Stegostoma tigrinum: one gene and its partners. The protein of the gene in region 3 binds, or shares a complex with, the protein of the main gene of each other region. Links are inferred from orthologs where the notes say so. Each region holds a gene or a part of one and is shown on either strand. Other genes may lie near its edges.

Region 1 (7,935 bases), about 17 Mb from region 3:
TGTTTAAAAATGCTTACTTTTATCACCCATTTTCAATCAAGCTAAATGGCACCACGGTACCACTTTTAAATATATCACAGGAATATTTTAAAAGCAAAACTTGAAAGAAAAAAGTTCTAAAATGTTGACCAATGCTGCTGCTTCATGTTAAGTTAGAATTTGGTTAGTGTAAATTAGTTGAGTGGAAACTCAAGAGAAGAGTGTTTCTCAAAACTGGCACAATTTTGGATGACATTTGAGATTGGTTGTCCATGGAACCCACAATGAAAACTCTACCGTACTATAGTCACCTTTCTTAGTGCATGCCATTTCTGGAACTAAAAGTATGGTCAAACATTGGCCTCAGGGTTTGAATGAAAACAGACTCCAAAGCCTGTCTTTCTTTCAGGACGACAGTGTTAAGAGCCTAATAGTCCTATTCAGTCACAACACAGAACCCCTGCCAGTACTATAACTTGTTTTGTTGGTGGCACACAAAAGCTAACTGGACTTGAAATAGAATCATTGTTTTTAAACTGTGCTACTTGTCTACAAAGTAAAAAGAATAAAACTGCCCATTACTGTCAACCACCATTTTGCTTTTAAGTAAATGTCTGCTATAATGCACATCATTATTGCAACAAAGGTGTCTTAGGCTTTGTAATGCCAACTATACAAGCAAATAACTACTGTGCTGATGTTTCCAAGGACGAACTTCGATTGCTATTTAAGCTATCCAAATAATATGATATAGGAATAGCTCATTATTAACTATAAATCATGCATCATTTGCTTCCCCTTTAAGTACGAAGCATGTTCTATGTATGGGCAGAAATCTGAAAGGGTTAAACTTCTCTTAGCTGAGGTAATATCGGCATGCACAATAAATCTATCTGAAGGAACGTTCTTAAGTATATTATCCTGACCCAGACAGGCGAATTGCTGTTCGCTGTACCCAATAAATTTACACAACTATTAAATCAAACCCAATAAAACCCATCTATGTTAAAATACTGCTGCTACTATGACCGTGGGCCGTCGAAAAGAGCAATCAGATGTCCCTGTCTTAAGTATTTAGTCTAACCACTATTATATTCGTCATTCTCTGGCTCTGAGGCGCTTTGAGTGTGGGACTGTGGGCAATGGGAACGCTGGCGGAGAGGGCGGAACAGAATGAACCTTGGCGGTCTGACATTCCCGTGCATAGATAGTACTAGTCACTCTACCCTTCCGATGAAAAATGATCAATTCATTCCATCCTATCTGGGAAGGTCTGTAAGTCGACTTATTGAGACGTGTTCAATGTTTATGTGAAATATACAAGGTTTCACCCAGCTCTTTAACATTTAACCACTCTGCAGAAATAGCTAGTAACTACCTTCTTGCAACTAGCAAAGTACTGTCAGCAGTTGAAAATAAGATTCAAACTGCAATTATTCTAACAAAGGGGAAAGGTCGTGCAGTCTGTTTTTCACATTAATACCGATTAGAATCGATGCGTGCCTCTTTTCAAATCCCAAAGCAAAGCTAATTTCATCCCCCTTTATCCGAACGAATCGCTTAACAGCTTGAAGCAGCTGCATCTCATTACACACTATATTGTAAAGCGGAACGTGACCCATTGAAACCGGGAGATACTTATGGAACACTAGAACACCGATTTCCATCAACTGACTTAAGTATGTTTTTTTTAATTTCTAATCGTGCACCATTTCAGTCCATTGAGAACTGTGGGATGACCTCGTTAAAATCCTCTCATACCTGTGTTTCGTTGAAAGCTGAAGCAGATTTTAATTCGGAAGAATCAAAACAGTTCTTAAAATAGTCTTCTTGCATGTCCTACTAGCCCTGCAGTGATGAAGGAGACATACTACCTCACTTCAGAGCAGATGGATATATCCGCAAGCGATGCAAAGTTCTCCCCCTATTTCTAGTGCACAGGATAACAAGAGGCTTTAACCCTGTCGTCAGTCAGTTCAGCACCATGGACAGATCAGCGCTGCCCATATCCAGCAAACTCGCTACCCGCACACCGCCCGTCAATTTGAATAACAGTACAGCCCAGCTTAATCCCGAGAGCTCTTTTCTTTCCCAGATCCTATGTTGACTGTTATTGATGCAATAGATGTGTCATTAATAAAGAGATTAACAGCCAGCATCAACCTTGCTCGAAAGGTAATCCCACTGGGGGTTCCGTATGCTGCACATCTCTCAACTAATTATGTAAATAGCTTTTTAAATCAACCCGGCCTCAATTTCCCCACATCGGTTCCGGCCAAGCTACCAGACCAAGGAATCTCTTTCCCCAGGTGCTTTTCATTAAAAGGTGAGCTACCGAGAATGGTGCCCATTGCTAGAGGGCAACTTCTGCAGTATTTGCAACTTTTGTTTTATTGTGTTAAACAGGATGCCCGGAGCCTCCGCTATGTGTAACCGCCCTGCTTTAAACAGTCCGTGCGCAATGTTGAATAGTCGGAGCCCAACCACCGTTTGGGAAACTGCAGCCCGCTTCACACGGACAGCTAACGGCGGCTGAGGTTTGCGGGCTTGATTTGGTAGAGTGGGGTGGGAAAGAGGAGTTCACCATACCTTGAGACGGGGTTTGTAGTTGGAGATTGCGATGCTCAGTCATTGTAAATAGAGAGGTTCCAGCTCGCTGGTCCTGTGCAGTCTTCACGTTCAGCTTTGCCTCTGAAATTCTACAAGCTTGTGGTAGCTTGCTTTTGAGCAAGCGCCAGTGGGATCGCCCACGAATTGTTGGAACGACCCACGGTCTAAGTCGGCTGGAAAGTATCCATTGATGACAAGGAGTCGCTCCGAGGACCCGTCTTATGCCTTTGCAATTCCTCGCCACCAGTGAGCCAGGAGGCGAAACCGAACCGAACTGTATAAATACCCTACGCAACACGACACGTCTTGTAATGAATGTCTTCAGTTCCCATCCGGCTCTCCGAGTGACTGTTTTTTTAAAAAAAGCCAGGGATTCCGCTAGCTCTGTGCCGCTGATTTCACATCTCAGCAACTCCCTCCTGCCGCCTCCCTACGCTCACAGGTACCTATTCCGTCAATTTAACATAGCGAAGAGCTCCTCTTTTTGCCAGACGAATTGGATTTCGCACGAACAGAACGATCATAATTCCAGAAATCGATCTGGGTTCTTGGCGGCGGAGACGGCGGGGGGTGGGTGGAAACGACTGTATTCCGATATTTGGCTTTGGGCATTCATTTACAATTCTTTCCGTCCAGCACTCAATTCCCAAATGATTAAAATCAGAAGGTCCTCGCCTGCTGAGGCAAAAAAAAACACATTTGCGATGCTACAAAAAGCGGCGCCCAGCCACTGCTTCAAATCGCATATTTCACTATTTTACTGAACCTTGGGGCCAGCTCACTTAAACCAATGCACTCTCTTCAGTGAAGGCACCATTAAACACGAGGCGTTTCAGTTTGTACCAGAGGTGTACTGAACGTTTTCCAAATGTCCGTCTGTCAGTATCATTTTGAAGTACCTTTTTGAAGACGACCTGGAATTTCAGTACATTTCATCTGGTTTGGAAAAGAAGTCAGTAAATTTATGTAACTATGGTGATCAAAAGGAAAATGTTGCTTTTAGAAAAAGTTGTTTCGAACAAAGTACACACGTAAAACAAGAAATAAGATTAACTATAACACAAAATGGAGACCGGATTTTAATTGACCTTAAATTAATAATCACTGTTCCGGAGTTGAATTGATTTATGTATAGAGCTTTCCTAATAAATTTGATGGGTGCAAATCAAAAAATGTCCCTTGAAGTTTAGGGGGTTTTTCTTTTGAACTCGAACTAGTCTCAATCTCAAATTCAAGTCATTGAAATGGGTAATAACTGGATGGAGGTGGCGCATGAAAGTAAGTGCATCGCGCAAATGGCAGTGGGCAGGTGAAACGTCCAGCAACACAGATGTGGCTCTCCCAGCAGGGGCGAAAGTAGGCCATTCGGCCCCTGGATCCTGCTCCGCCAGTCGATGAGACCATGGTTTGTCTGACTCCCAAAAACTATACGCAGAGTCGAAGACCGAGATGTCAGCAAAATTAGTTTAAGGATCCCTGTCCTCCTTTTCGAATCTGAAAACTTGAGCTTCGTAGCATGCACCTTGCACATGGCCGATATTTGTTTGGAACAGCTCTCAGCTGGCAACAATCTTAGCTTGATTCGCAAAAGTAATGAAACGCTCACAGCCTGAGTTCTGGCGAAGTGTGGGTTTCCCCATATGCAATATTGACCAACGGATAATATCCAGCAAACAGCCCAGGCAATTTGAGGAGATATATAATGTATACCAAAAACAAACAACAGCGCACGTATTGAAGGCACATTCTCCCTAGAAGAGGGAGGACTAGTGTGTGAGGATCTCAACGCACACAAACTCCGAAATCGCTTGGTTATTTAAAAAAATATACAGTTTGGTAGTTTGAGCCTTGCTTTCATGTTTCAGGGTAAAGCACGTGCAACCATCCTTCAGGTGAAAGTGACGTACAACGCGGTTAGGGAGGATGGGAAACTGTTAGAATCACTGACGGAGCGTACACTGAGCAGTGTATTTTCTACAGAAGTGGGAATTGCGGAGTTGAATTGATTGATGGTAAAAATCACTGGAACACCTCGAGCTGAAGAATAAGCGGCTGGTGATTGCAATAACGGTTCACAAGTACCTACATGTGGAATTAATGTGTAATTAGTGCAACTCCCTTAGTTAACCTCCAAGTGACACCAAGTCCAATTAATCCTCTTGTAAGTAATTTAATATCGACTTGATCTTTAAAGGGCATTCTGTTTGTCAAAACAGAATGCTAAAAGATAAGCAAATTGGGAGCTTCTATTTAAACTGAGGTGTAGCAGGATAATTAAGCCTGCCGTTACAATACGACATCCTATTGCTCCTACTACCCAAAAAGTTTGCCGCATTTCTAATCTTCTGAAACCGAACAGAGAGCTTGGCGCTCTGTTTGACGGTTTAAGGCGCCGTCTAGTGCTCAGATCTGCTTCAACTATCGATTGTTGGGTTTGAACCAACAAAATATCCGGATGTCTGAGCAGCACCAGCCCGCTGGCTCCCTTTGAAAGTCTAAATTTTCCTGTTTAGTGAGTGAGAGAAAGTATTCTGTGAATAATACCTGAATAATCAGATTTTTCATTTAAGATTTATTCACAGCCATTCCTAGTTATACCAATATTTGGAATTTTATAAACTAACGTCGCATTTCTTTTTGCTTTCAACATCGTCGGAGGGTTGACGCGAGATAAAATGTTTTAACATTCGTTTGATGCAAAAGGAGGGTACTTAAAGACATTATATGCCTATAATATTCTGATTAAATCCTATTTTCAATTAGCGGGATTGGTTTGTGTTAAAGTACCCCTTTTCAAAACGTTCCGTGAAAAACATGCGCAAGATAGTTACTTATTATAGAGGATAACCATGTACACTGACTATTATAGTATGATGAGCTGCAATAATTACTAGGTCGATTTCAATTGGCGATTTCATAATGTTGGCAGAATGAGATGGAACGTAAAAACTATGTCGGATCTCAAATACACTCGCTTCGCCCCTATCTCAAAGTCAATCAACGCTCACTTACCTGAGTGCAGACCTGACCTTACTATATTATTTAAAGCAAACACGTAACAGAAGGCCTCACCACGTTTTCCATATTATAGTGGGGCCCCTTCCTGCGTAACGTGTTCATGAATTGTCACTTAGTTTTACCTCCAAAGCCTCAATTGCCTAATTTCATAACACAATTGACCCGAATTGGGTAAAGTCTTGTGTGTATTGCATTGAAGAACACCCATCACTGCAGCCACGCTAGTAGCAAAACATTCGATCTTGGAAGCTAAGCACCCTGGATCAAGAAGCCCGTGTTCAAGTCTCACATGCTCCAGAGGTATGGAATGATGTCTCTGAACAGGTTGACTAGAAAAAGATGGTTTGAAGAACGCTCATAAAGTGCACTCATTGTAACTAAGCATCAATTGGTAACCAACAGAGATGGCAGCGGAGGTGACAATATTACAAATGTTCAAATCTGGAAATATATCACATTCCTTTCGCCTCTTTCAAAAACTTCAAGATTAAAATGTAAATGGTACCTGCTGAAATTTCCAGTATGCAGTACGACCAAAAAAAATGGATAATTGTTTGGATTGCGTACCTGTTTCTTATAGTGATCACAACTAAAACATATTTGATCAATGCCACCTGTGTAACTTACATGGAATAAAAATGTTTTTCTTAATACCAATATGTATTAAACAAAAGTACTGTCAGCTTACAAGAAATAATGAAATGAACAATTACCTCTATCTTCCTTCCCTCTCATTTTCAATTGAGTTATTTGATTCTTTCTCTTTCAGGATATTGTTTTCCTTAGCTAATGGTTTGACTGCTGTCTCAAGGTCTGTGTGAAACCTGAACTTAATTGGAGCTGTGACAGTGACTGATTAACTTTAAGCCAATACCCTGACTGATATTGTCCTTCCAGGAGATTTGGAATAGCAAACATGCAGTTTCTTTTTGGCTTTTTTTTTTAAAAAACCGTTTTCCACTTTGAACTGTGGGTGGAATTTGGAGTACAGGAGGTGCCTGATGTTTTTCCTTTTATCAGATTTTCACTTTTAAATAAATGATTTACGTGACACTGATGAAGTCCCTCACCAATTTCAAAAAATGTTACAAAAGAAGTTCTAAAGGCAGTCAAATATGAGGAGAATGCTCCCTAATCATCAGGATCCAATCAGGGAGCCCTGGTTGACCAATTTATAGAGCAGAATGTCAGACACCCTGTTCACACTGAGCTGGATCTAAAGGAGCCATAAGGGGGGACTTGGTGATAGGATACCAGCTTCCATCGAGTTACTTCAATGATGGTGAAACAAATGCACACCCCTGAAGAAACTTACTTGCAACAGTTGTCTTTGAGTTGGGTTAAGAATTTCTGGCATTATTGGGAAGCTTGACTCATTCAATCCTGTCATCAAAGACTGGGCCCAGTATGTGGAAAGATGTGCTTTTTGTTGGGCAAATGATTTTGGGGCAGATGAAAAGCAATAAGTATTTCTCTGGGTAGCTTGACAACTTGCAGCTGCTTTTTCCTTGACTCCTTCACAGAATGAGGGTATTGCTGGCTAGGCCAGCATTTATTGCCCATCCCTAAATGCCCGGAGGGCAGTTTAAGAGTCACCACATTGCTATGGGTCTGGAGTTACATGTAGGCTAGACCAAGTAAGGATGGCAGTTTCCTTCCTTAAGGGCATTAGTGAATCAGTTCTTTTTTGGATAATCAACAATGACTTCATGATCATCAATAGACTTTTAAATCCAGAGTTTTTTTTTTGGTTACTAAATTCCATTATCTGCTGTGGTAGGATTTGAACCCAAGCTTGCAGAACATTATCTAGGTCCCTGGATTACCAGTCCAGCAATAATACCATGAGGCTACCACCTCTAGTAGTTATTCTGAGCCTAACTTTCTCTGAGGCACCAGATACTACAACCTTCCAAGAATTGAGAGTTAGCTAAGGAATATTATGACTCCAAGCCATATCTAATTCTAAGAGGCTGTCAGTTTTATTCAACAATTACAAAATCAGGGGAGTCAGTATTGGGATTTTTGAGGTTATTACAACTGGCAGAGGCATATAATTTTGGTTTACCGCTTAATAAGATGCTGAAGACCATTTGGTATGTGAGGTTAATGATGTAACAATGCAGAAACCCCTTCTAGGTGAAACCCAACTGGGTTTCAAACAGGCAATACAACTGGCCTTGTCATTGGAAAATGTGGCAAGTGGAGCATGAGAGTTGTGGGGTATTCTGATGGAAATGGACACCCTCACAGTCCAACTGAGCTTGGGGAATACCATTTGAATAAAGGCAGTTGCATAGCCTCACGTAGGGCATATCCTCAACAGGT
Region 2 (8,295 bases), on a different chromosome or scaffold from region 3:
TGGTCTTCAAGGAAGCAATGGGACTCCAACTCAGTTTTCTTTGTCTCACAGAGAGTGACGCTGCAAATGGCACCGCAGTCCTGAGCTATTCTCTATTCCCTTACTCCCTTTGGGTGGATTGGTGCCACGAAACTCTGCTTACCTGCTGTGTTCAGCTAAGAGCAATTTCTTCTGCATTATGTCATCTAGTCGTTTTTTTGTAAGTCTAGGCGCATGGGTTCAATTCTCGCATTGGCTGAGGCTACCATGAGTGATTCTGTTTCTCCACCTCTGCCCTCACCTGAGGAGTGGTGACCCTCAGGTTAAACCACCAGCAGCTCCCTCTATCTCTCTCTCTAAAGACGGAGCAGCCCTACGGTCTGTGCAGACTATGGGGACCTTACCTTTACTTTATGGGGTGAATCTCCGCGCGAGTTCCCCGACGTGATTTGGATGGAAACGCTCTGAAACCGCTTAGGCAAGGTATTTTTCTCTCTCTCCATCTCTCTCTGGGGATTTCCACAGCTCTTCCGCCAAAGTTACGAGCCGTGACCGCTAATAAAATTTACCCCTTCACTCGATCCGTTCCGTTCGTTTCTTTTGGAGATGGCGCAGTTGAGGTGAATCCCTAGAATTTATCTTCTAAAGGCTTGCGCGCACAGACTTTCCCCAGTTTGTGGTCGATTTGTGAAATTGCCTGTGAGCCCTGGGGTTAACGGACGTGTTCCTGGGAAGGGTGATTCGGTCGGAAATTGGAATCATATCTATCAGAATGAACCTCCCTAGCGTACGTCAATGCGCTTACAGATAACAGTGAAAAGCTTCATAAATCTCCTCAATTTTTTGGGGGGAGAACAACGTAACCAAACGGGGTTAACTACTTGCTTTCAGCCTCACGGTCACTGTTTCGTCAATGCCAGTTGTCAAGATTGGTGTTTGCTAACCCTGGTTAAATATTCAATGTTAAACACTTCAACAAATAGTTCATAATTAATTCTTTCGCAAGACCGCTCCCCGAGCTTTCATGTTCCCTACTATTTACTGCAGCAACAGAGATCCCGGCATTAATCAGACTAGACCCCCAACCCTTCTGCCCCGGTAGCAGCTGTGAATGTTTACATTTGTGCAATTGTCTAAGGGGCAATTTAAAAATTGCTGGAATGAGATTGTAAAGATAGTGAGTACCGACAACGCTATGTAAATGTTATAGGCTGTTTCCCTCCGCTGGCTGCTAAAAAGCAGCCTTTGATAGTAATTGCACTGTTTGTGATATTGTGATGTTCAACAGGACACCTTAGTAATGGGGTGTTGGGGATGGGTGGGTTGGCGGGGGAAGATATTGCCACAGTCCGAGAAATGGCTTTAGCTGTTCGGCAAGATGAGACCCCATTAAGAAAGACTCGCACACAGTTCATAGATGACTAGTATCTTCGATGCTGAAATTGTCATCGAATTGCCTCACTGGGGCAGGCAGGGTCGTTATATTATAAACTACTGTGCAGTAGAACCAAAGATGAAGATTCAAAAATAAAGAACTACGAGCAATTTGTACAAGACCCACCCGTTAAGACCGAGAGACGCTAAACCCCAGCCTACTTCCCCCCAAATAAACAAGTCAGAAATGGATGGTAGTTTCACGCGCTTGTGGTTCTGTCGATTTATTGGACCCATCGTCTGAAGGCGAGATCTGTCCACTGTCAGCAAATTTTGCAAAGTGCATTTTCTTTTTTCCAGACGGATTTAATGAAAACTTACTGAGCTGTTTATTGCGCCTGACAGATTCGGTTGACTTGTTAAAATAAGAAGCTGTGTAATGGTGGGGGAGAACATGGGTGTGAAAGAGTTCAGAGTAACTGTAAATGTACACCTTCCCAGCGCCAGCCTTTGCCCGTAGGTCCATCTGAGCAGATCTTACAGCTCCCCAGTGAAACACCGCCTGCTATTGGATGGACCGGTTCAGATCCCTGTCTACTGGGTCCATTTTGGTGTTTGTTTTTAAACATGATTATTTCTTAAAATCTATCCTATTCATTACGTGGTTTATACAAGAGTATAGAAAATACCCTACATTTGCCTCGCGCAGTGGCATCATTCCAAATCCTAAACGTTGTCATTCTTAATGAATAAACAAAGGTTTTATTCTTTGATTTAAAGGTAGTCAAGTAGGTGCAGTAGAACAGGAAAAAAAGACATTTATATTTACCTGTACGCTAGTTTCCCCCCATAAATCGGTGCAGTGTAGTTTTCGCTGAATTTATAACGCAGCAATTGTACAAACGTTGTCATCCTGAAGACTTCGCGGCACGATACAATGTAAATCGCTGAAGATCGTTAAGATCCCAAACGTTTTTAAAATTCCCCTCTGCACACGACGGTTGTGCAAATGAACTTTTCCGCCATAAGACACTTCGCTTTTAATTTAACGTGTCGGAGACATTATTATATCCTACAGGTTCGGGGGCCTGGGGGGCGCGGTGGTGGGGGCTTGCTGGTAAAAGTGCAGGAGACAAGCGTGTGTTGTCAGTCTCTCTCGGCTTCCCCAGATCCTCCTTTAGGAACTGGTCGCGCAGCTCTCCATCGAGATAGCGAAGCCAGGAGAGGCTGGGGTGTACATTCCGAACCTCTAACAATAGCCGGCACACTTCAGCCCTCTCGCTGGAGCCACGGCAGGAGGTTATTTTCCCTTCTCTCTCTCTCTCTGTTGGATGACAGGATTTTCGATAGGTCAGTAATGTAGGTACAGCTCTGCATTGATGTGACAGAGGCGCCAGTCAATCAGCCTTTGGTATGATCGCGACTGGGGCTGACACATGCTCCCAAGAGCGGGGGCTGCCTCTCACACAAACACTGCAACCGAGACAGGTAAGTTATGAGGCTCTTTCCTTCGCGTTCTCCTTCGTTTCTTTCGTTTTCATCCTCTCATTCCTTCTTCTCTCCTTTGTTTATCCATCCTGCCCTTTCAGAGATCGCCGGTGTTTGGGGAGCTGAAGAAAACACTGCTGTTTCCAATGCTTCATGTTGTTGTCATCTCGTTAGCAAAGCATTTGGCCCCTTGCTGCTCAGGATGGAATCTGTTTGATATTTCCCCATGCGCTCTCACTGCCCAGAATAGACAAGAACCAGGGGATCTTTTTTAAACAATGTAGCACTGGACAATCAAAAACTGGGGTGATTTGGCTTGACCCTGCAATCTCCAAAGGAAGGAAAGAACTTGGATTTAAGTAGCACCTTTCTCCCCTTTAGGATATTCAAATACATGATGTAGCCAATGAGGTTCCTGTAAAGTCTAGTCACTGTTTCAGTCTCGGAAATGTAACAGCTGAGGTGTGCACAAGTTCTGACAAACTGCATCAAGCCAAAAAGCCAAAATATCTATTATTAGTTGTTGGGTGTTTGACTATTATTACACAAATCTGGGAGCATGCTTTTGTTCTTCTTCAAATAGTACCATGGAATTTTCCACATTCATTGGAGCTTGGTGTCTCGTTTTATCCCTAAAATAACATGCCAGCAGCATTGCATTGAAGTACCTGCCTGCATTAAGTACTGGTGTCTCATGATTGAGGCTTGAACTCATGATCCCCTGAATAAAGGTGCAAGAAAGTTTAATGGAGCCAAAGGTGGCACTGATACAGCAGAGTGGGCAGCCTTTTATTGCTAAAACAACTGCTAATCTGTCAATCCCCTTCACAATCTCAACGTCATTATTCAGATACACTGGTGTGGAGGATAAAACAATGTGGGTTGGGTTAAAAGTGGAGTGAAAAAAGAATGTGTTATTAATGGTATGTAAACAAATTAGGCATTTGTCACAAATGGCTTATTTTCATTTTTAGAATATATCCCTTGAGCTTCCATGTATGTGCAATTTAACCTCTTCAGCTAATGTGTGTAAGTGGGAGAACAAATCAGAATAGCAATCAGAGGTGAATAGTGCAGATACATGAGTAGTCTGGAATTGTTTTTAATGTTAGCCAATGGGGGCAAGAGAAACTTTATGCAAAACATTTCTTTAGCAAATTAAGTAAATTAGGAAGAGTTTACAACAGGTCAGATTACACCCAGTTAAATCACAGTCACAAGCCATCTTTTGGTTCAAATTTGTGATGAACACAGACACTGGTGGTGACAGAATTGGGATCTTTTGGTCATTGGTGAATTAAGAATACATTGCTCTGGAAATGCTTGAACTTATTCAGCAATCTATCACAGCCTCTGACGTATTTCATCAGCTTTTGAGCATAATAATTGTGTATTAAGAGCAGACAGCAAAGATTCAGGGGAGCGCTCAACTACTAATCAAGATTAACTATAAAAACAATATTTCAAATTGAACTTGTTTTCCAAATCACGCCTGAATGCTGTGTGCAGTTTTTGTCTCCTCAGCTAAAAACAGACATAGTTGCTTAGGTAGTCTGCAACCATTGTTAAAAAGGAGTCACAGAACTGAAACAAAACAAAGAACTGTGAATGCTGGAAATCTGAAGCAAAACAGAAGTTGCTGGTGAAATTTGATAGGTCTGGAAGCATCTGTCAGGACAACTGATGAAGGTCAACGGACTCAAAATAATAGCTCTTCCCTTTTTCCTCAGATGCTGCCAGACCTGCTGAGTTTCTCCAGTTATTTTTATTTTTGTTTATAATGCGATTCTCCTTTTAGTGATGAGGTAAAGAAAAACATTCTATCAAAGGACTATGCAACTTTGGAACTGTATGACTTAGAAGGCCATGGTGGTGACGCCACTAACATCAGCTTTCCTGCTCTCAGATGCTGCTTGACCTGCTGTGTTCATCCAGCTCCACACCTTGTTATCTTGGATTCTGCACCATCTGCAGTTCCTATTATCTCTGCTACAATTTTAACCTCTCTGCGAAGCCTCACAATCAAAACAAGGAGTCATTTAGAACTGAGATGAGAAGAAATTTCTTCATTCACCAAGGCATGAATCTGTGAATCTTTGGATTTTCTGTTCTAGAGGGCTGTGTTTGCTCATTATTTGAGTATTTCAAGACAGGGATTGATTGTTGGGCACTTCAGATATATCGCAATTAAGGGGAGCATACCGTTTACTCCTGTCACTGCTGTTTGTCATGGTTTTCTGTTTCTGTGTAAACAAAAAAGGAAATCAATTTAAAGTTAAAGGGGAGGTGATGGCCTAGTGGTGTTATCACTGCACTGTTACTCCAGAGACCCAGAGAGCATTCTGGGGGCACTGGTTTGAATCCTGCCATGGCAAATGGTGGAATTTGAATTCAATAAAAAATATCTGGAATTAAGAATCTAATGATGACTGTGAATCTGTTGCCAATTGTTGGGGAAACCCATCTGGTTCTCTAATATCCTTTAGGGAAGGAAACTGCTGTCTTTACTGGTCTGGCCTACGTGTGACCCCAGACCCACAGCAATGTGGTTGACTTGAAACTATCCTCGGGCTATTAGGGATGGGTATTAAATGCTGCCTGGCCAGCAACACCCTCATCCTGTTAATGAATAAAGGGAAAAAAAATGTTGTATAGTAAATACTTTATTTTACTAGATGAAAAAATGCATACTTTCTATTTTAAGCTTTACTTCTGGTTTATTTTTCTTATAGTCATATTGTAAGTCTTATTTCCTGAACCCAAAGAAAATAATGACAGTCTCTTGGATATTTTTATTGAGTGGCAGCAATTTCCATTATGAGTTTCCTGTGTAGTAAAATTGCAAATAATTGCTTTAAACTTTCTGTATGTGTGATTTGATTTTAATACCTCAGTGCCAATACTGGGGCACATTATTGCATGCAATGTTTGAAACTCAATCTAAGATTTAGAATTTAGAGTCCCTACAGTGTGGAAACAGGCCCTCCAGCCCAACAAATCCACACCGAACCTCAGTGCATCCTATCCAGACCCAATCCTCTATAACCCACCTCGGCTGCACAACCCTGAACACTATGGGCAATTTAGCATGGCCAATCCACCTAGCCTGCACATCTTTAGACTGTGGGAGGAAACCAGAGCACCCAGAGGAAACGCATGCAGACACGGGGAGAATGTGCAAACTCCACACAGGCAGACACCCGAGGCTAGAATCGAACCTGGGTCTCTGGTGCTGTGAGGCAGCAGTGCTAACCACTGAGCCACCGTGCTGCCCAAAAATCTGTGCATTCATAATAGATTCTTGCCAGCATTGCATTTGGAGTGTAACATTTGGCTTCACCGATTTGACTAGTAAAGGTGGATGTCATGGCTCCCATACCCATATTCAATGCATTTGTACAAACACCAGCGCTAATCTCTTCCCCATCCTCCACTGGAAGATTGCAATAGACTTCCAAATGCACTGTCAATACTAATACATGAAGAACAGACTCTTATTCAAAGGGTAAGCCAGCTCCCATGAACTGTATCTCAATGCAATGTTTGCGCATTTAGGCAAAAGGAATAAAGTTGAGAGAAGACACAGATGGGGCTTCTGGTTGCAGGGTGTGTGTGGGTCCAGCATTGGACCCTGTATTGGCAGCGATATTGGCAAGGTGGGCCCAGTGGTGAAGAGATGGTGCCTGAAGAATGCTGGTTCTGACATTGGTGGGTCTGATGTCTGGCTGGTGAGATGGTGGAGGAGGGCTGGTGACTCAGGTGTTGTTGGTGAGCCAGCTCAGGGCTCAGGACTCATGAAGGATGTGGCAGAACGAAGAAAGACTTTCTTTCAGCTAAATCTTTTTATTCTTTATATTCTTAAGCTACTCAAAATGGGGCTGAATTATGGAAACAGTTGAAGCTGGTCACTCTATTTTACTTTATTATTCGCTATAACACACAATTGACGATAAATCATTCAGATCAAATACTTTGCACGTGAAAGGCAGAATAATTCAATGCCATTTGTACACCTCAGTACGTGGATTTCAATGACTGAAGAACAGATGTGATTTCTCTACTCTGGATAACTATCTCAAAGTGGTTTATACAATCAAAACTTTGTTATCAACATGCAGACCAAAGATGAAACAAATTACCACAATTAGAAAAGTAATCAGTGAACATCCATGCACCTCCATAGGCATTCTAAATACAGTCACATCTCCTAAATTACATCCTCTCTGATGTCTCTCACATCTCCCAACATTGGATGATTTTAGTGGCAATGGAAATGACATGACACTGAATTAAGTGTAACAGATTATTGATACATGAACATGCACAGGTCAGAGGCATAATATTTAATGATCATTGTGTTTCACCAACAGATCTTCAGTCTTCAAATAGTGCCTTAAACTGTGAAATTTTGATTTTTCACATCAGCAATCCTTATATGCTGTCCAAGTGAGATAATCAATTACAGCACAATTGATGCTGGGGATGAATGTGTGCTTGAAAGACAATTGACATTACCTGAGCTGAATTCATTTGCAGTTTTGGTTAGGGAAGAGAAAGGGAGAGTGCAACAGAGAAAAATAAGTCTCCAGGACCCCTCAGGATTGTACATTTCGATCCAACTGTGCATTCAAATATAACTTGAAAGTCAGATCTGTACCAGACAAGATATCAATAGATTTTTAAAAAATTTTTGAACTTGCGTATATGTGGGGCTAGTTTGAATATTTAGGAAATATCTTATATATTGAAATGCTTAGTCACCATAACCTAGATGGCTGTAAAATAGTAGGAAAGGAAAGATCTAAATATTTAAATAATCAACCCAATGGTTTGACCAGCTCTAAAGCTGAAATCTCTCATCAAACAAGTTAATTATCTAGTCATTATCTAGGCAATTATCTAGGACCGCAACTTTCCCCCCGCAGTGGTCGAGAACACCCTTGACCGCGTCTCCCGCATTTCCCGCAACACATCCCTCACACCCTACCCCGCCACAACCGCCCCAAGAGGATCCCCCTCATTCTCACACACCACCCCACCAACCTCCAGATACAACGCATCATCCTCCGACACTTCCGCCATCTACAATCCGACCCCACCACCCAAGATATTTTTCCATCCCCACCCTTGTCTGCCTTCCGGAGAGACCACTCTTTCCATGACACCCTTGTTCGCTCCACACTCCCCTCCAACCCCACCACACCCGGCACCTTCCCCTGCAACCGCAGGAAGTGCTACACTTGCCCCCACACCTCCTCCCTCATCCCCATCCCAGGCCCCAAGATGACTTTCCACATTAAGCAGATGTTCACCTGCACATCTGCCAATGTGGTATACTGTATCCATTGTACACGGTGTGGCTTCCTCTACATTGGGGAAACCAAGCGGAGGCTTGGGGACCGCTTTGCAGAACGCCTCCACTCAGTTCACAATAAACAACTGCACCTCCCAGTC
Region 3 (7,571 bases):
TCTGGAATTAAGAATCTAATGATGACCATGCATTGACTGGTGGAAATGCCCATCTGGTTCACTAATATGCCTTAGGGAAGGCAAGTGCCATCCTTATGTGGCCCGGCCTGCGAGAGACTCCAGACCCACAGCAACGTAGTTGACTCAACTACCTTTTGGGCAATTAGGGATGGACAATGAATGCTGCCCAGCCAGCAGTGTCCACATCCCATTAATGAATAAAGGAGGTTGGAGGATGTCAGTGAAGCTCTGTCTCAACTTGAAAGACTGTTTAGGGCCCTGGATGGAGGTGAGCAAGGTGGTGTGTGGGCAGGTGCTGCAATTTTACAGTTACAGGGGAAGGTACCAAATGGGTAGAAGTGGTTGGTGGGGAGTGTGGTAAGAACTCAGGAATAGTGATGGGAATGGTCCTTGCAGAAGGCAGAAGGGATGGGGAGTGGAAGATGTTCCAGGTGGTGGAGTCTCATGGAGTTGGAAGTATTTGAGGATGATCTGTTGGATGTGGAAGCTGGAGGGGAGGGAAGTGTGGACAAGAGGGACCCAATCTTTATTATACCCTGACTCATGAATTTCCCTGTTCCTGAAACTTACTAATTTTATCCAGTAATCTTATTACTAAACTTCTAATGTAAGCTGGCAAAGACTGCCATGTTGGGGTAGGCCACAGTCACAGCTACAATTTGCAGCTGGACCTTGTCTCATTAGAACATAAATAGGAGTAGGAGTCGGACAACTGGCCCATCGAGCCTGCTCCACATTTCAGCAAGATCATGGCTGACCATTTTGTGGATTCATCTCCATTTACCCATCTACCATAACCCTTAATTCCTTGACTGTTCAAAAATCTTTATCATAAAAACAGATAAGATAGCCTCAGCTGTTTCACTGGGCATGGAATTCCACAGATTCACAACCCTTTGGGTGAAGAAGTTCTTTCTCAACTCAGCCTGATTCTGCTCTTCCTTATAGTGAGAGTATGCCCTTAGCTCCAGTTTCAACTGCCAGTGGAAACAACCTCTTTGCTTCTATCTTATCAATTCCCTTCATAACATTACATTTCTATAAGATCCCCACGCATTTTTCTAAACTCCAATGAGTATAGTCCCAGACTAGTCAAACTCTGACATAAACCAACACTCCTAATTCAAGAATCAACCTGGTGAAAGTCCACTGCACCCCCTCCGGTGTCAGTATATCCTCTCTCAACTAAGGGGAACAAAACTGTGCAGAGTATTCCAGCTGAAGCGTTATCTCCATATTTTTAAACTCCATCCCTAGGGCAATGAATGACAATATTCTATGTCTCAGTTCAGTGGGATGGAAGCAATGTATTTTGTGGGCTAATGAGGAATGAATTATGTATTAGAATTCCGTTTATAATACCCAAGCAAATACACTAACATCCACCCAAATGCCCTTGAAACATACTGCAGCCACAGCATTGCCTCACCTCACTTTATGGTCTTTGCCAACTCACATCCTTGAAATCAGAAATCTGCAACATATCAGCACTTCCCCAATCATCCAAATTTCTCACCAGTCAATCTCCCACACCAGGGCAAAAACAGCACCCTCACAGAATGGGTAAATAAATGATCTTAACTGCAAACACAGCAAATGGGTAAAATCTCGCATCCTCAACTGTACATTTGGATGGAGGGATTATCTCAAATGCACTTCTGGTAGGTGTGGGTTAAATAATCCTACCCCCACAAAACCCTAACCCCTGGCAGGTGGGCAAAATCCTCCACCCCGACAAAACCCTCACATCCAGTGGGTGGGCAAAATGCCCCACCCCCTCCCCCCCCAACTTCGGCAGGTGGGCAAAATCCCCCACCCGCCCCAACAACCTCACCTCCGGTAGGTGGGCAAAACCCCCACCCACCCCCCCCAAACCCTCACCTCCGGCGGGTGGGCAAACTCCCCCACCTCCCCCCCAAAACCCTCACCTCCGGCAGGTGGGCAAAATCCCCCACCACCATGCCGCCCAAAACCCCCACGTTCGGCAGGTGGGCAAAATCCCCCACCCGCCCCAACACCCTCACCTCCGGCAGGTGGGCAAAATCGCCCGCCCCCCCCACCAAAACCCTCACCTCCGGCGGGTGGGCAAACTCCCCCTCCCCCACCCCGGCGGGTGGTCAAGAACCCCCACCCCCTAAAACCTCCACCTCCAGCGGGTGGGCAAAATGCCCCACCCCCCACAAAACCCCCACCTCCGGCGGGTGGGCAAAATCCACTCAAAACCCTCAGCTCCGGCGGGTGTTGGCTAAATAATCCCCCAACCCCAAACCTTCACCTCCGGCAGACGGGCAAACTCTCCGATCTTCAGCCCCGCAAAAAAATAAACTCCCACCTCAGTGGGTTCACACCCAATTCAAACCCCAAAGAGAAATCATACGAACCCTGCCTTTGATCTGAAACTCGAATCTTTTCTAACACCGGGGTAGGACGCAGGGTTGGGTGTTAGCCTGAGGTTTTAAAGAGTCAAAGTCAGACCCTGGAGACCCCAGAGAAACCTACAACTCCGGCCTCGAGTGCAGTTACAAAGCGCTCTGTTGTCGCCGCTACTATTGTTCTTTGATAACGACTGATTACCCAGCAGCAGAAGTTTGACCTCCCTGGACGACTTCTCGCCGTCTTCCTTCAGGTTGCGGTCGATCATTTTGCTCCTGGCCATCGCCGCCTTGTCCTCTGCGCTCATGGTGCAGCCCATCCCGGCAGCCGGACAGGGGACCCGGACTCCGGGGCCGAAAGCAAGGGTGAATAAGGAAGGGGGCCTTAGGAAAATCCCCTCACACCGGGGAAAAGAGATTGGGGGGTGGGGGAAGGGTTGGGGGCCGCGAAAAGAAAAAAAAACACGAACTCCCTTCTCAGGCGGTGCAACGAAACAGAAGGAATTTATGTATTTCTTTTCTTCTTTTACATCGGTAATTCGTTCGCACAATCGAAAAAAAAATACGCGTACAAACGCTTCGAGAGAGGAGAAGATCACTTAAAAGAAGTAAAGTTTTAACCGCAGGGACCGTTAACAATTCAAAACCCGCGATCGCTCGAGGGCGGCCAGAGCGAGCCGCGACGGTTAGACTGAGAAAACGGAAACCCGCCCAACCGGAAATCGTCGACGCGCAAGGCCCGACGGGAGGTGTAGTTCGGCCGTCGATGCACCTGAGCACAACTGCGAATGACACCCTTCCCCCGACACGACGCGCGAGGTACTGTGGGAGCTGTAGTTCAGCTGCCGACGCACTTCAGGCGAGCCCACCACACCGTATCAGAGATAATGGGAACTGCAGATGCTGGAGATTCCAAGATAATAAAATGTGAGGCTGGATGAACACAGCAGGCCAAGCAGCATCTCAGGAGCACAAAAGCTGACGTTTCGGGCCTAGACCCTTCATCAGAGAGGGGGATGGGGGGAGGGAACTGGAATAAATAGGGAGAGAGGGGGAGGCGGACCGAAGATGGAGAGAAAAGAAGATAGGTGGAGAGAGTGTAGGTGGGGAGGTAGGGAGGGGATAGGTCAGTCCAGGGAAGACAGACAGGTCAAGGAGGTGGGATGAGGTTAGTAGGTAGCTGGGGGTGCGGCTTGGGGTGGGAGGAAGGGATGGGTGAGAGGAAGAACAGGTTAGGGAGGCAGAGACAGGTTGGACTGGTTTTGGGATGCAGTGGGTGGGGGGGAAGAGCTGGGCTGGTTGTGTGGTTGCAGGAACAGCAACTCATATTCCGCCTGGGAACCCTGCAGCCATATGGTATCAATGTGGACTTCACCAGTTTCAAAATCTCCCCTTCCCCCACTGCATCCCTCAACCAGCCCAGTTCATCCCCTCCCCCCACTGCACCACACAACCAGCCCAGCTCTTCCCCCCCACCCACTGCATCCCAAAACCAGTCCAACCTGTCTCTGCCTCCCTAACCGGTTCTTCCTCTCACCCATCCCTTCCTCCCACCCCAAGCCGCACCCCCAGCTACCTACTAACCTCATCCCACCTCCTTGACCTGTCCGTCTTCCCTGGACTGACCTATCCCCTCCCTACCTCCCCACCTACACCCTCTCCACCTATCTTCTTTACTCTCCATCTTCGGTCCGCCTCCCCCTCTCTCCCTATTTATTCCAGTTCCCTCCCCCCATCCCCCTCTCTGATGAAGGGTCTAGGCCCGAAACGTCAGCTTTTGTGCTCCTGAGATGCTGCTTGGCCTGCTGTGTTCATCCAGCCTCACATTTTATTACCACCACACCGTACACGCGCACGCGCGCGCACCCTCCCTCTCCCTTGCCCTCCCCATTTAGTGCCCGCGCACACATGAATCAATGGGATGAATTTGTACTTGCAGATACATTTCATTTTGTTCAAAAAACACACCATTTAGGGACAGTCAGTCAATATGGCGTTTTATAAATTAATACTTTAGAAATAAAACCAGTCTGACACCGAACAAAAACACAATCAAGTTTTAATCAAGGTCAGACACCTAACATGCATTGTCTGTTCGAAATGTCACCTCTGCTTCACACTGATAAAATCTTCAGTTCTTCCAGGTCCATGACTTGAAAGAAATTTGGGAATTTACATATACATTTTAATCAGTTAAAACCTTCTAACTGATTAAAATTTAATAGATTTAAAACATTTAACAAAAGTTTGTTTAGTACATCCTCATGAATGGTGTGAACCTTTGATCTCTTACTTATACATTCTGCGTCTGATATTACCTCTCTCACTAACACCTGAAGAAGGACTGAAGCTCCGAAAGCTCATGTTTTTAAATAAACCTGTTGGACTATAACCTGGTGTCGTGTGATTTCAGACCTGACACACCAAGACATAAGCAGTGGGAGGGCAGAGATGTGGTCAGTAGTACTACAGCAACAACTCTGAAGGAGGATCTTGGCCCGAAACATCAATTTTTCTGCTCCTCTGACGCTGTCTGGCCTGCTATGTTCCTCCAGCTCCACTCTATTATCTATGACTCCAGCATCTGCAGTTCTTACTATCTCTCATGTAGGTAGGAGAGTGCCTTTATTGCATTCCTGTTCTTCTCCTCACTGCTTGAATGAGCGGAGGCCAAAGGGAGCATTGCAAAGGCTTTCTGAAGAAATGCAACAGAGATTTAAGAAGAAACAGACGTGAAATAATCTCTTGTGTGAGGGGATACAATTTTTGAGAACACCCGTTGCCAAGAGGAAGTGCGGGAAAGGAATGGGAGAAAGGAATACTAACATGTAAGGACTACTTCCACCTACGTTCCAAATGTATGATTGGAGATGATGCTCTAGGATTAGGCTCATCAGTTACATGTTGACTATGACTAGTGACATGGAATTTCCTCGGTGGACAACCATACTCAATAGTGACTGATTGCCAACAGCAAGTTGAGAGAATTTAAAGTTCTGCCACCCAACACAAAAAGTCATCTGAGGGCAAAGATTTTACACTTATCTCTTTATATATTGACATATTCCCTCCTTCTATATTTGTTTGAATTTGCTCAAAAGAGAGACACATTGACGCGGTGAGATAACTAGGTGTAGAGCTGGATGAACACAGCAGGTTAAGCAGCATCATAGGAGCAGGAAGGCTGACATTTCAGGCCTAGACCCTTCTTCAGAAAAAGTGTTGCATCTTGGTCTTAGTGGGACTATTGTAAGAAAACCAAATTTCAAACAAACACAACAGTTTAGAGCGTGCATTCGGCATTTCCGCTTTTGTTCTGATGCAAAGTGGAAAGTTTGGCATTCACCAACGTTCATTCCTGGGATGTGAAGGCCAGGAACAAGGCAATTTGCTGCTCATTTCCCTGGATCAGGTGGTTTTGAAAAACCTGTTCTAATATTGCTTTATGGTGGATGTAGTTTAATACATCCGTTAACATACTGTTATGAAGTTTTTTCATAACAGTTGTTCATTGTGTATCTGACTTAATTTTTACAAGGCATCAAAAAGTAATTGGGACTCATTTTTAAAGGTGCTTCATGAAAGAGCGTCCAACAGGTATAAACTTAAAACTTGAGTGGTAACCGTTGAGAAAGTCGCAACTAAAATTCAACCCTAACCTGAGGCAATATCAAATCATAAACAATTTCCAGCATGGGTGAAGTTTAATTTCCTTCATTCAATCTTTCATGTGACCTGGGTGTCACTGACAAGGCCAGCAATTGTTGCCCATCCATAATAGCCCTTGAATTGTGTTGCTTTCTAGGTCAGTTCAGAGTCAACCATATTACTGGTGAGTTTGGAGTCACTTGCAAAGATAGCAGATCTGGATGTAAGTTTGCTCGCTGAGCTGGAAGGTTCGTTTTCAGATGTTTCGTCACCATTCTAGGTAACATCATCAGTGAGATGTTACCTGGAATGGTGACGAAACGTCTGAAAACAAACCTTCCAGCTCGGTGAGCAAACTTACATCCAGAACCTCAACCTGAGCTACAAATCTTCTCAAAACTCAATAGCAGATTTTATCCTGTAGAGGACATTAGTGAACCTGATGGGATTTTATGATAATTCATGATACTAATTAGCTTTCAATTCCAAAATCATTAATTGCATTTATATTCCATTAGCTGGCATGGCGAGATTTGAACCCATGAATCTCAGAGTAATAGCCTGGCTCTCTGCGTTACTCATCCAGTGACATTACCACTGCACAACCGGAAAGTGATGGTTTTTCTTCTTGCAATATTCTGAAGTACCATGGTGAATCGTTTTGACCCCTCTACCAGTAAAGGCAAAAAATACTAGGAACTGCAAACACAGCACTGGCCAGGAATTGAATTTAGGAAACTTTCTGGTTTTAATATTTATTTCCAAATTGGTCAACAAATGAAAACCAACAAAAAGTATATATTTTAGCTCACTTCTCCAAGCTCCTTTTTAGTTACACTTCAACATTATTTTAGGAAGTTGGAAAAAGGCACTTTCGAAACCCAGAACACCACAGATCATAATGTTACCATTACATTTATTTACATAGATGACAACTTGAATATATAAAACATCATAAAAATGAAATGTTTGTACTTATGTAATATCTTTCACGTAACCAGGATGTCTTAAAAAGCTTTATTGCCATTTAAGTTCATTTGAAGTGTTGTCACTGTAGTAATGCCAGAAACACAACAATCAATTTCTTCACCAATCAAGAGTTGGCCAGCAATTGCTGAGCTGTAGCAATTAAAATGAAATGCAATTTACTCATTTTCGTAACGCAATATCTAAATAATGTGTAAAATGAAACGTAAGTACAATGTGCACATTTTGTCTGCATCATGTGACTTCTTATCATATCATGTGTCAACAGTTTCCATTCTAAACTTTAAAGTATTCATTTATCATGGGAAGTGCATATGTACTCTATCACTCTGATGGTGACATCCTACTGCTGCTTTCCAATAATCCTTTTAAATTTCTTTCTGAACGTTTTCACATTTTCTATGCATTCTACGTCTCGAGCACTCAACTTTCAAAATTCCTCCATCAAGAGGTCAATCACAATTTTAAAAAAGCTTTCTTAAAATGAAGCATAAACTTAGCAAATGAATTATCCTTCATGCCTTTCAATGTCTTAGTTAAACA
Region 4 (7,790 bases), on a different chromosome or scaffold from region 3:
ATGGATTAGATTGGCCAAAGGGCTGCCTAGATTTTCTAAGTAATATAGAATGGGACAAAGTTAAGGAATTTGAAACTTCTACCAGTTTCAGATCTGGAGATGACAGCATGTTAAAATCTTTGAAAACAGTGGTCATTCCTTGTGAAAGAGTGGAAGCAATCATTTTCTTAGGACAATGTAGTCTCAGAGTAGACATGCCCCTAGAAAGAGATCACAAACATCTTTAGAGGTATCTTATTAATAGGAGGGGAAACTCAAACAGTAGCAGTATAGAATAAGATAGAAAGCAAACTAGAGGCTTTAGTTTAACAAGGACAAGAATTATAGCTCATACCAGGAATACTCACGTGACCAAACAATTTTAGTGGCTACAACCAAGCTAGAAGACAAGTTAATAAAAGATGCCAAACAACAAGAACTACAAAATGTAGGGAATTCAGATGTACTCAGAAGGAAAGAAACTAAAGGAAAATGCTGCACTTTTTGTTGTTCTTTAAAATAAATGAAATAGTTATTTTTATATCAATAGAGAGAAAAACAGATTTAACATTTTGAGTCTGACTTCTTCAGAGCCTTATCAGACTTGAAATATAAGCCCTGTTTCTCTTTCCACAGATAGTTCCACATCTGCCGAGTCTCTCCAGCATTCTCTGTATTTGTTTCAGATTTTCAGCATCCACAGTATTTTGTGTTTAGACAGTTATTATGCGTTCTATTTCCTCATCGTGATATGTCTTCTCAACAAGGATAGCTTTAGGTTTGGCGCTACCTTGTTGAATTATGAATCAAAGCAGAGTGCTTCTACAATGTATAGGAAGGATGTTGGGCCCACAATGAATGTGTCGGACCACACTCGGAAGGGGAAGGGCCTGTACCTGTGCTTTACTGTTCTTTGTTTTTTTAAATGTGGCAAGAAGATGTATAACCACATCACGTTCAAAAAATATCATTGATCATGAACTAATTTGAATAAGGGGACTTTTTTCAAGAATCAATGAGTTAACTATTTATATTCAGTCTTTAAACATTTGAACAATTTAGTTTTTGAATTGTTAACCCTTACCCAAGTTGGTTGTTCATACAGACATTTTAAGATGAGAGTTTACTGAGTATAGCTGTATGCGCACAAGTATCTCTTCAGTTAGCAGGTGAAGAATTCAAATTGTAATAACTACCCAGTCAAACAAGCCAACCATACACATCTATTTCTTTAAAGAACTTTACGTGTTAGTTAAAATTCAAACTTCTGGCTATGGGTGATAAATATATACTAACGTATTGTAGGCTGTTTCCCACTGCATTAGACCATTGTGATATCTAAGCTTTGATAACAAGAAATTATAATTTGGAGTGCTATGTAAGCAGTTCCTACCATCACAGATCCTTTGGAAAAAAATTCAAGGGTTGATTTAAACAATGCCCATTAGGCAGAAACTCAGTAGCAATAATGGTCCATATGATTCCTTTGCATTGATCCTGGGCTTTTATGCAAGCCATACTTTCTTGACCCCACCATTCTTGGCTATAGAATTAACCATTCAGGCCCTGGCCTTTGGAATTCCCTTCCTAACCCTTATTGTTTTTCTAGATCTTCCTCCTTTTTCTTTGTAAGTCCCTCCTTTTTCTTTGATTAAGCTTTTAGTCACCCCTCCGAATATTTATTTCTCAGCCTCAGCTCCAATTTTTGACAGACTATGTTGCCGTGAAGCAATGTAGGACTTTTATAATCTTATTGATCCATATAAATGCAAGTTGTAACTAAATGAAACATGTCACTAAATTAAATATATGAAAGTGTTGTCATTATTTTGGCCTATGGCCTTTTTAATGATTTTAATATTCTTGATCCATAATGCAGAGGTACATTCATAGTCTGGACTGCAGAATTGTCATAATGTCCTGAAGTTATTTGCACTTCATGACAGTCAAAATATTGTTAACTTCACAAGTAAGTGAAAATTCCTTTTAAATTCAATTTAGTGAGTATTTGCAGGAAATAAAATTCTTAGTCGAAATGCTTCCACAGTGTTGAAAACTGTGAAGAAAGGTAACATTCATGTAGTTGATCTATTCAGATAGTCAACCTCACGGTAGAAGAGAAGCAGAAAGCAGTTGACTTTTGCTCGCTGCATGGTACAACTCATCTGCAAATAATTTCCAGCAGAAAGTCATCAGAATAAAGTCACATTTCTCTATTTGAGAATTTTAATCAAACGTTCCTATTATACCTTTCAAAAGTGCATATCCAATGTATCTAACTAAAAAGAAAGCACTTTAGCTGCTTTTGAAATATTCATTGGCTCAATTATGTCTTTATGTTGATGCATAGAAGTAGAATGTTGCTGATTAAACATTTATCCAATGTTTAGAATTGACCATCTGTTAGAGAAGCTGCTCAATGTCCCTTTCCATTGAAACCCGTGAAAGGGAAAATTAAGCAAATGATTGTGATGGTAATTTCCCACCCGGGCAGAAAGTTGAAAATTCCAGAGATGTTTTCTTGTGAGATCTCAACTTTTTAACTTTAGACGGCTCCAAACCTACATATCTACTGAAATTATCTGATGAATATATCTGTTGCAAGTTGTTTCAAATAAAAACAGTCATCATTTTTCCAGCAAGATTCTATCATTTTAACGCTCTATTCAATCCCCTTTAAACCCTATTTCTAGAACTCACATTAGGACCACATTAGTTGTTCAATATTTGGGGTACAATTAATTTGATGTTTATGTGATGGTCGGTGCTTCATGTAAGGCCCGCATGAGGACATATAATTACTTACTGGTTAATTCCTAACTTTTGATTTCAATTGAAATAACGATGATTTTTGATAGGTAGACATTGTTCTCACATTTTAAGCTCTGTCATTACTTATTCTGTTCACTTTCACTCTTGAAAGTGATTTATTATGGCTGTAGTCTGTTTATTGTCCATCTCACCTCATGTTAAACCCACAGAGAGGGACATATGGCTTATAGTGCAATTACAAATTCTACTAAAAAGAATATAAATAAACAACTGATCTGCAATGGGATTGAACAAATTCTTACCTTTGGTACCCTGGTCAGTTATTCATGCAATGACAATAGGAGACTTGCAGGAAAGTTTCCTTAGCTGAGGACATTCTTATGGAAATATTTTAATAACCTTCTGATAGCTGGAAATATTTCATTAACACAGATGTATGTTCCTGTAATGGTGACCAGCAGTATTGTTTTGCATTTCAGGGAAGTTCAGCTAACAATATTTTCCTTGGGGTTAATTCAATGCAATTTAGTCTTTTGCACATTAATGCAATGCACGCTAAACTCTAAGTAAGGTCAAAACGATATAATCTTGGTTAATGATTGATCTCGATCGTCCTACTGTTAGAGAAGTTGTTGAATCTTGTGTTTCAAAAGAGTGAGGAAATTTCTGACATTGTTTGAAAGCATATTGCATTCAAGAACAGCTCTGCTGCAGTTCAATCATTTCAAGTTGAAAGAAATTTGTTGGGATCTTTTTCAAAACAAAGGAATTTCAAGGTAGTATGCATCTCTTCATTACCATTAACCACTAATTAGCAAGGCTTTTTTTAGATACAAGAATTCCAAACCTGACCAACACATAAAATCAAAGCCCAGCCCTGCAGTCCGGTAGTCAAGCCTCCTTGAGCCATGGTTTTTATATCTCCTACACCAGGCCCAATAGAAAAAGAGTTCCTTCATTTATTTTGGTAGTGATTGTGAATGTAAATCTTCCAGAGACTTGTAAGGAATCATAGATTAAAATTCCTTCAGTGTTCCTGTATTGTATGGCTCTTTCAGTTAAGGCCTACAAATATTAAACTGGCCAAAATGTATGATAATACACAAAGACTTCAAACCATTATTATTTTGTTTCCAGATATAAGAAAAATGTTTTTGTAATAGTAACATCTGTGAAAATAGAATGCATATATTGCAGGAGAATAAATAGTTTTTTTAAGTAAAATCAGGATTCAGATGAAAATGCCTCATTGTTGTCGACTGTCCTCAACTTGAGGATGATTTCTCCTCAGGATAACAATTTTTTTGCCTCATTAACACAGATTCACAAGACAATAAAATGAATTAACATTTGTTTTATTTGTGAGATGTGGACATCACTGGCTGGCCAGTATTTATTGCCTATTCCTAGTTGCCCTTGGGAAGATAGTGGTGAGCTGTCTTCTTGAACAGCTACAGTCCACATGATATCAGTTGACCCACAGTGTCTTCAAGCAGAGATTTTGATCCAGTAACAGTGAAGGAACGGCGATATATTCCCCAGTCAGGACAGTGAGTGACTTGGAAGGGGATTTTCAGGTGGTGGTGTTCCCATGTATCTGCTGCCCTTGTTTAGATGGAAGTGGTCGTGGGTTTGGAAGATGCTGTCTGAGGGTTTTGATGAATTTCTGCAGTGCTTCTTGTAAATGGTACACATTGCTGCTACTGAGCATTGGTGGTGGAGGGAGTGGATGCTTGCGGATGTGGTGCCAATCAACTAGGCTGCTTTGTCCTGGATGGCGTCAAGCTTCTTGACTGTTGTTAGAGCTGCCCTCATCCAGGCAAGTGCGGAGTATTCCATCATATTCCTGACTTGTGCCTTGTAGATGGTGGGCAGGCTTTGGGGAGACAGGAGGTGAGTTACTCCCCGCAGTATTTCTAGCTTCTGACTTGCTCTTATAGCAATTGTATCAAGTTGAGTATCTGGTCAATGATAAGCCCCAGGGTGTTGATAGTGGGGGATTCAGTGTTGGCAACTCCATTGAATGTCAAGGAATGATGGTTAGATTTTCTTTTACTGGTGATTGTCGTAGGCTGATATTTGTGTGGCACAAATGTTACTTGCCACTTGTCAGCCCAAGCCCGGATATTGTCCAGATCTTATTACATTTGAACATGGTCTGCTTCAGTATCTGAGATGTTGTGAATGGTGCTGAACATTTTCAATCATTAGCCAGCATCCCCATTTCCAACCTTATGATAGAGTGAAGGTCATTGATGAAGCTGTTGACAATTGTTGGGTCTAGGACGCTATTCGGAATTAAAGATTCAATTGTGGTTAAAATAATATTCAGAAGTTCACTCTGGCCAGGCCAGGAAATGAAATTCCAAACATGATTATTCAATTGTAAAGATCCTGAAATTAAGCATTTTCACAGAGCTCTTTCCTCAAACTACAGAAAACCCGGGTTGTACAGTATTTTAAGAAAAGAGGATGTCGGTTATGCCATTTGACTTGATTTTTCCTTCTTCAACTGGGTTTAGTCAAACAGTTCCAAAAAGATTTTTTTTAACCAGGCTTCCGAGAAACAAATGTAAATCAACATTTCATAGCACGTCTTTCTTTTACACAACCACTGATAGCTCCTGAGATAACAAAGTGTAGAGCTGGATGAACACAACAGGCCAAGCAGCATCAGAAGAGCAGAAAAGCTGACGTTTTGGGTCAAGGCCCTTCTTCAGAAGAAGGGTCTAGGCCCGAAACGTCAGCTTTCCTGCTCCTCTGATGCTGCTTGGCCTGCTGTGTTCACCCAGCTCTACACCTCATTATCTCAGATTCTCCAGCATCTGCAGTTCCTACTATCTCTGATAGCTCCTTAAAGGTTCCTCATCATAACCATAAATGTTTCAACTGATAAGAACACACACACCACACCTCCACATCATCATACATTCCCAAAATATAAACCAAACTCACAGGATCCCCAGACGTTGAGCTCCAGGGAACGAAAACGCATAAATTCACAAACAACATTTTAATAACTAAAAGATGAAAATGGACACAAACCAGACCACTAAGAGTTGACATTCAGTACGGGGCCATAACACAAAAAGCAGGCTCAGACAGCATTACTTTGGACATCTTATGTTGCTTTCCCCAATGATTCGGGCATTTTATTAATTTTATATGAACTCAAGTGCCAATACCAAGGCCTTGTCTTCTTTGTTTCTTTTTTCTTCTTTTTAACTACCTCCTGTCTAAACAGATGGATTAGTGGGATTCACATTAATTTTAACCATTTAGTCAATTTGTTTCTTATATTCGATTGACTACGTCTTGACTTTGGATCCCTTCAGACCCCATTTGGCATCATCCTTTTTCTTTCCCTATTCAACTATGTGGCTCTTCATTGTCCCCTGGGTGAACTAGGATCTCTCCTCTCACCGTTCAACTGCTGTCATGGGATCTCTTAGCTCTATCACTGCTGCTTATGTTGTTTGGCATGTCAGTGGCCCTATTTGATAGCTTCACTAGGTTGATACCTAATTTTTAGGTAGGCCTGGTGCTGGTCCTGGCATGCCCTCTTGCACTCTCCATCAAAATAGGGTGAACCCTTGTCTTGATGGTAATGATTGAGTGAAGTATGCTGGGCCTTGAGGGTACAGATTGTGCGGGTGTGCAATTCTGCTGCTGTTGATGGATACCTCATGGATGTCCAAAGTCTTGAGTTGCCAGATCTTGTTCTAAATCTGTCCCATTTAGCACAGTGATAGTGCTATACAACATATATTCAATGTGAAGGGAGGATTTTGTCTCCACAAAGGACTGTGCGGTGGTCACTCTTACTGTTACTGTCATTGACAGGTGCATCTGTGGCTGGCAAGTTGATAAGGATGAAGTCAAGTATGATTTTCCCTCTGGTTGGTTCCCTTGCCATCTGCTGCAGACCCAGTATAGCAGCTGTGTCCTTTAGGACTGGGCCAGCTCCATCAGTGGCACTGAAATTTACATCCCCCACTCAGAATATATTTTGTACCCTTGCCACCCTCAGTGCTTCCTCCAAGTGTTGTTCAATAAGGAGGAGTGCTGATTCATCAGCTGAGGGAGGGCAGTACATGGTAACCAGCAGGAGGTATCCTTGCCCATTTTTAAAATGAAGCCATGAGACTTCAGGGAAACCAGAGTCAATGTTGAGGACTCCCGGACAGTACAACGTTATGTTGCTAGCTCTGCTGGGTTTTTCCAAGACATATTCAGGGATGGTGATAGTGTTGTCTGTGATATTGTAAGATATGATTCACGAGTATGACTATGTCAGGTTGTTGCTTAACTAGTCTGTGAGGCAACTGTCCCAATTTGGGACTAGATGTTAGTAAGGAAGACTTTTCAGGGTTGACAGGTTTGTTTTTTTCTGTTGTTTCTTCTGGTGCCTAGTTAATACCGGGTGGCCCATCCAGTTTCATTTTTTTGTTGAGACTTTGTCACAATTAATACAACTGAGTAGTTTGGCAGGCCATTTCAGAGGGCAGCTGAGAGTCAGCTACTTCCGTGTTGCTCTCGAGTCATATATAGGTCAAACTAGGTGAAGATGGCAGATTTCCTTCCCTGGAGAGAATTTGTGTTCTGACGCTTGCCAATAGTTTCACGGTCATCAGTAGATTCTTAATACCACATTTTTTAATTGAATTCAAATTCCACTATTTACCAAGGTGGGATTTGAACCCAGGATCTGCAGAACATTAACTAGGTTTCTGGATTAATAGTCTAACAATAATACCACTAGGGTGTCACCTTCCCATATGTCAAACCAAATGCTTTGGTATATTTTGTACATAAAGAATATATTCAGGAGAAAAGTCTACCAATTGTGCATGATTATTTAGTGCTCAATGCACTACATCCTCATTACCCTCTTATCAACAATTTCTATCAATTAGTAGTTGAATCTCATATATTTAACATCACAGAAATCTATTACAGATACTCATTGACACATGTTCTTTCTTACAGAGGAAAGTAACACCAATAGGAGGAGACAGCAATAAACTGAAGGAGGACAA

The links.
Region 1: the proteins of guanine nucleotide-binding protein G(i) subunit alpha-3 (region 3) and metabotropic glutamate receptor 4-like are in contact, whole or in part, in a cryo-EM structure (PDB 8JD6), measured with the Homo sapiens proteins. The link is inferred for Stegostoma tigrinum from reciprocal best matches to the Homo sapiens genes GNAI3 and GRM4. Residues at the interface, in NP_006487.1 of Homo sapiens: Ala31, Lys32, Val34, Lys192, Asp193, Leu194, Thr219, Phe336, Thr340, Ile343, Ile344, Asn347, Leu348, Cys351, Gly352, Leu353, Tyr354; in NP_000832.1 of Homo sapiens: Pro616, Lys619, Ala620, Gly622, Arg623, Glu624, Arg676, Ile677, Ile680, Phe681, Gln683, Gly684, Lys685, Arg686, Ser687, Val688, Ser689, Ala690, Ile694, Ser695, Pro696, Phe781.
Region 2: the proteins of guanine nucleotide-binding protein G(i) subunit alpha-3 (region 3) and short transient receptor potential channel 5-like are in contact, whole or in part, in a cryo-EM structure (PDB 8GVX), measured with the Homo sapiens proteins. The link is inferred for Stegostoma tigrinum from reciprocal best matches to the Homo sapiens genes GNAI3 and TRPC5. Residues at the interface, in NP_006487.1 of Homo sapiens: Arg205, Arg208, Lys209, Trp211, Ile212, His213, Phe215, Glu216, Glu245, Leu249, Ser252, Asn256, Lys257, Trp258, Arg312; in NP_036603.1 of Homo sapiens: Thr27, Glu32, Glu33, Glu56, Ile57, Tyr58, Tyr59, Asn60, Lys125, Pro128, Thr129, Leu130, Met131.
Region 4: the proteins of guanine nucleotide-binding protein G(i) subunit alpha-3 (region 3) and casr are in contact, whole or in part, in a cryo-EM structure (PDB 8SZH), measured with the Homo sapiens proteins. The link is inferred for Stegostoma tigrinum from reciprocal best matches to the Homo sapiens genes GNAI3 and CASR. Residues at the interface, in NP_006487.1 of Homo sapiens: Ala31, Lys32, Gln304, Glu308, Lys314, Asp315, Thr316, Lys317, Glu318, Ile319, Tyr320, Thr321, Phe334, Asp337, Ala338, Thr340, Asp341, Ile343, Ile344, Lys345, Asn347, Leu348, Glu350, Cys351, Gly352, Leu353, Tyr354; in NP_000379.3 of Homo sapiens: Lys644, Ala645, Asn647, Arg701, Val702, Val705, Phe706, Ala708, Lys709, Pro711, Thr712, Arg716, Trp719, Phe801, Ile869, Val872, Arg873, Thr876, Ala877, Ala880, Phe881, Lys882, Val883, Ala884, Ala885, Arg886.

Annotation. Positions count from the first base shown.
Region 1 is NC_081374.1:28,928,012-28,935,946, reverse strand, and holds the start of metabotropic glutamate receptor 4-like, read right to left. Parts: upstream 3,303-7,935; 5' UTR 2,569-3,302; intron 1,801-2,568; exon of another isoform or gene 1,741-1,800; intron 1-1,740.
Region 2 is NC_081368.1:25,286,643-25,294,937, forward strand, and holds the start of short transient receptor potential channel 5-like, read right to left. Parts: upstream 3,145-8,295; 5' UTR 2,183-3,144; intron 694-2,182; exon of another isoform or gene 384-693; intron 79-383; exon of another isoform or gene 1-78. UniProt on the Homo sapiens protein: Forms a receptor-activated non-selective calcium permeant cation channel. Mediates calcium-dependent phosphatidylserine externalization and apoptosis in neurons via its association with PLSCR1.
Region 3 is NC_081374.1:11,653,823-11,661,393, forward strand, and holds the start of guanine nucleotide-binding protein G(i) subunit alpha-3, read right to left. Parts: upstream 3,102-7,571; 5' UTR 2,714-3,101; coding exon 2,596-2,713; intron 2,509-2,595; exon of another isoform or gene 2,403-2,508; intron 1-2,402. UniProt on the Homo sapiens protein: Heterotrimeric guanine nucleotide-binding proteins (G proteins) function as transducers downstream of G protein-coupled receptors (GPCRs) in numerous signaling cascades.
Region 4 is NC_081365.1:36,572,375-36,580,164, forward strand, and holds the start of casr (extracellular calcium-sensing receptor), read right to left. Parts: upstream 3,169-7,790; 5' UTR 3,054-3,168; intron 1-3,053. UniProt on the Homo sapiens protein: G-protein-coupled receptor that senses changes in the extracellular concentration of calcium ions and plays a key role in maintaining calcium homeostasis.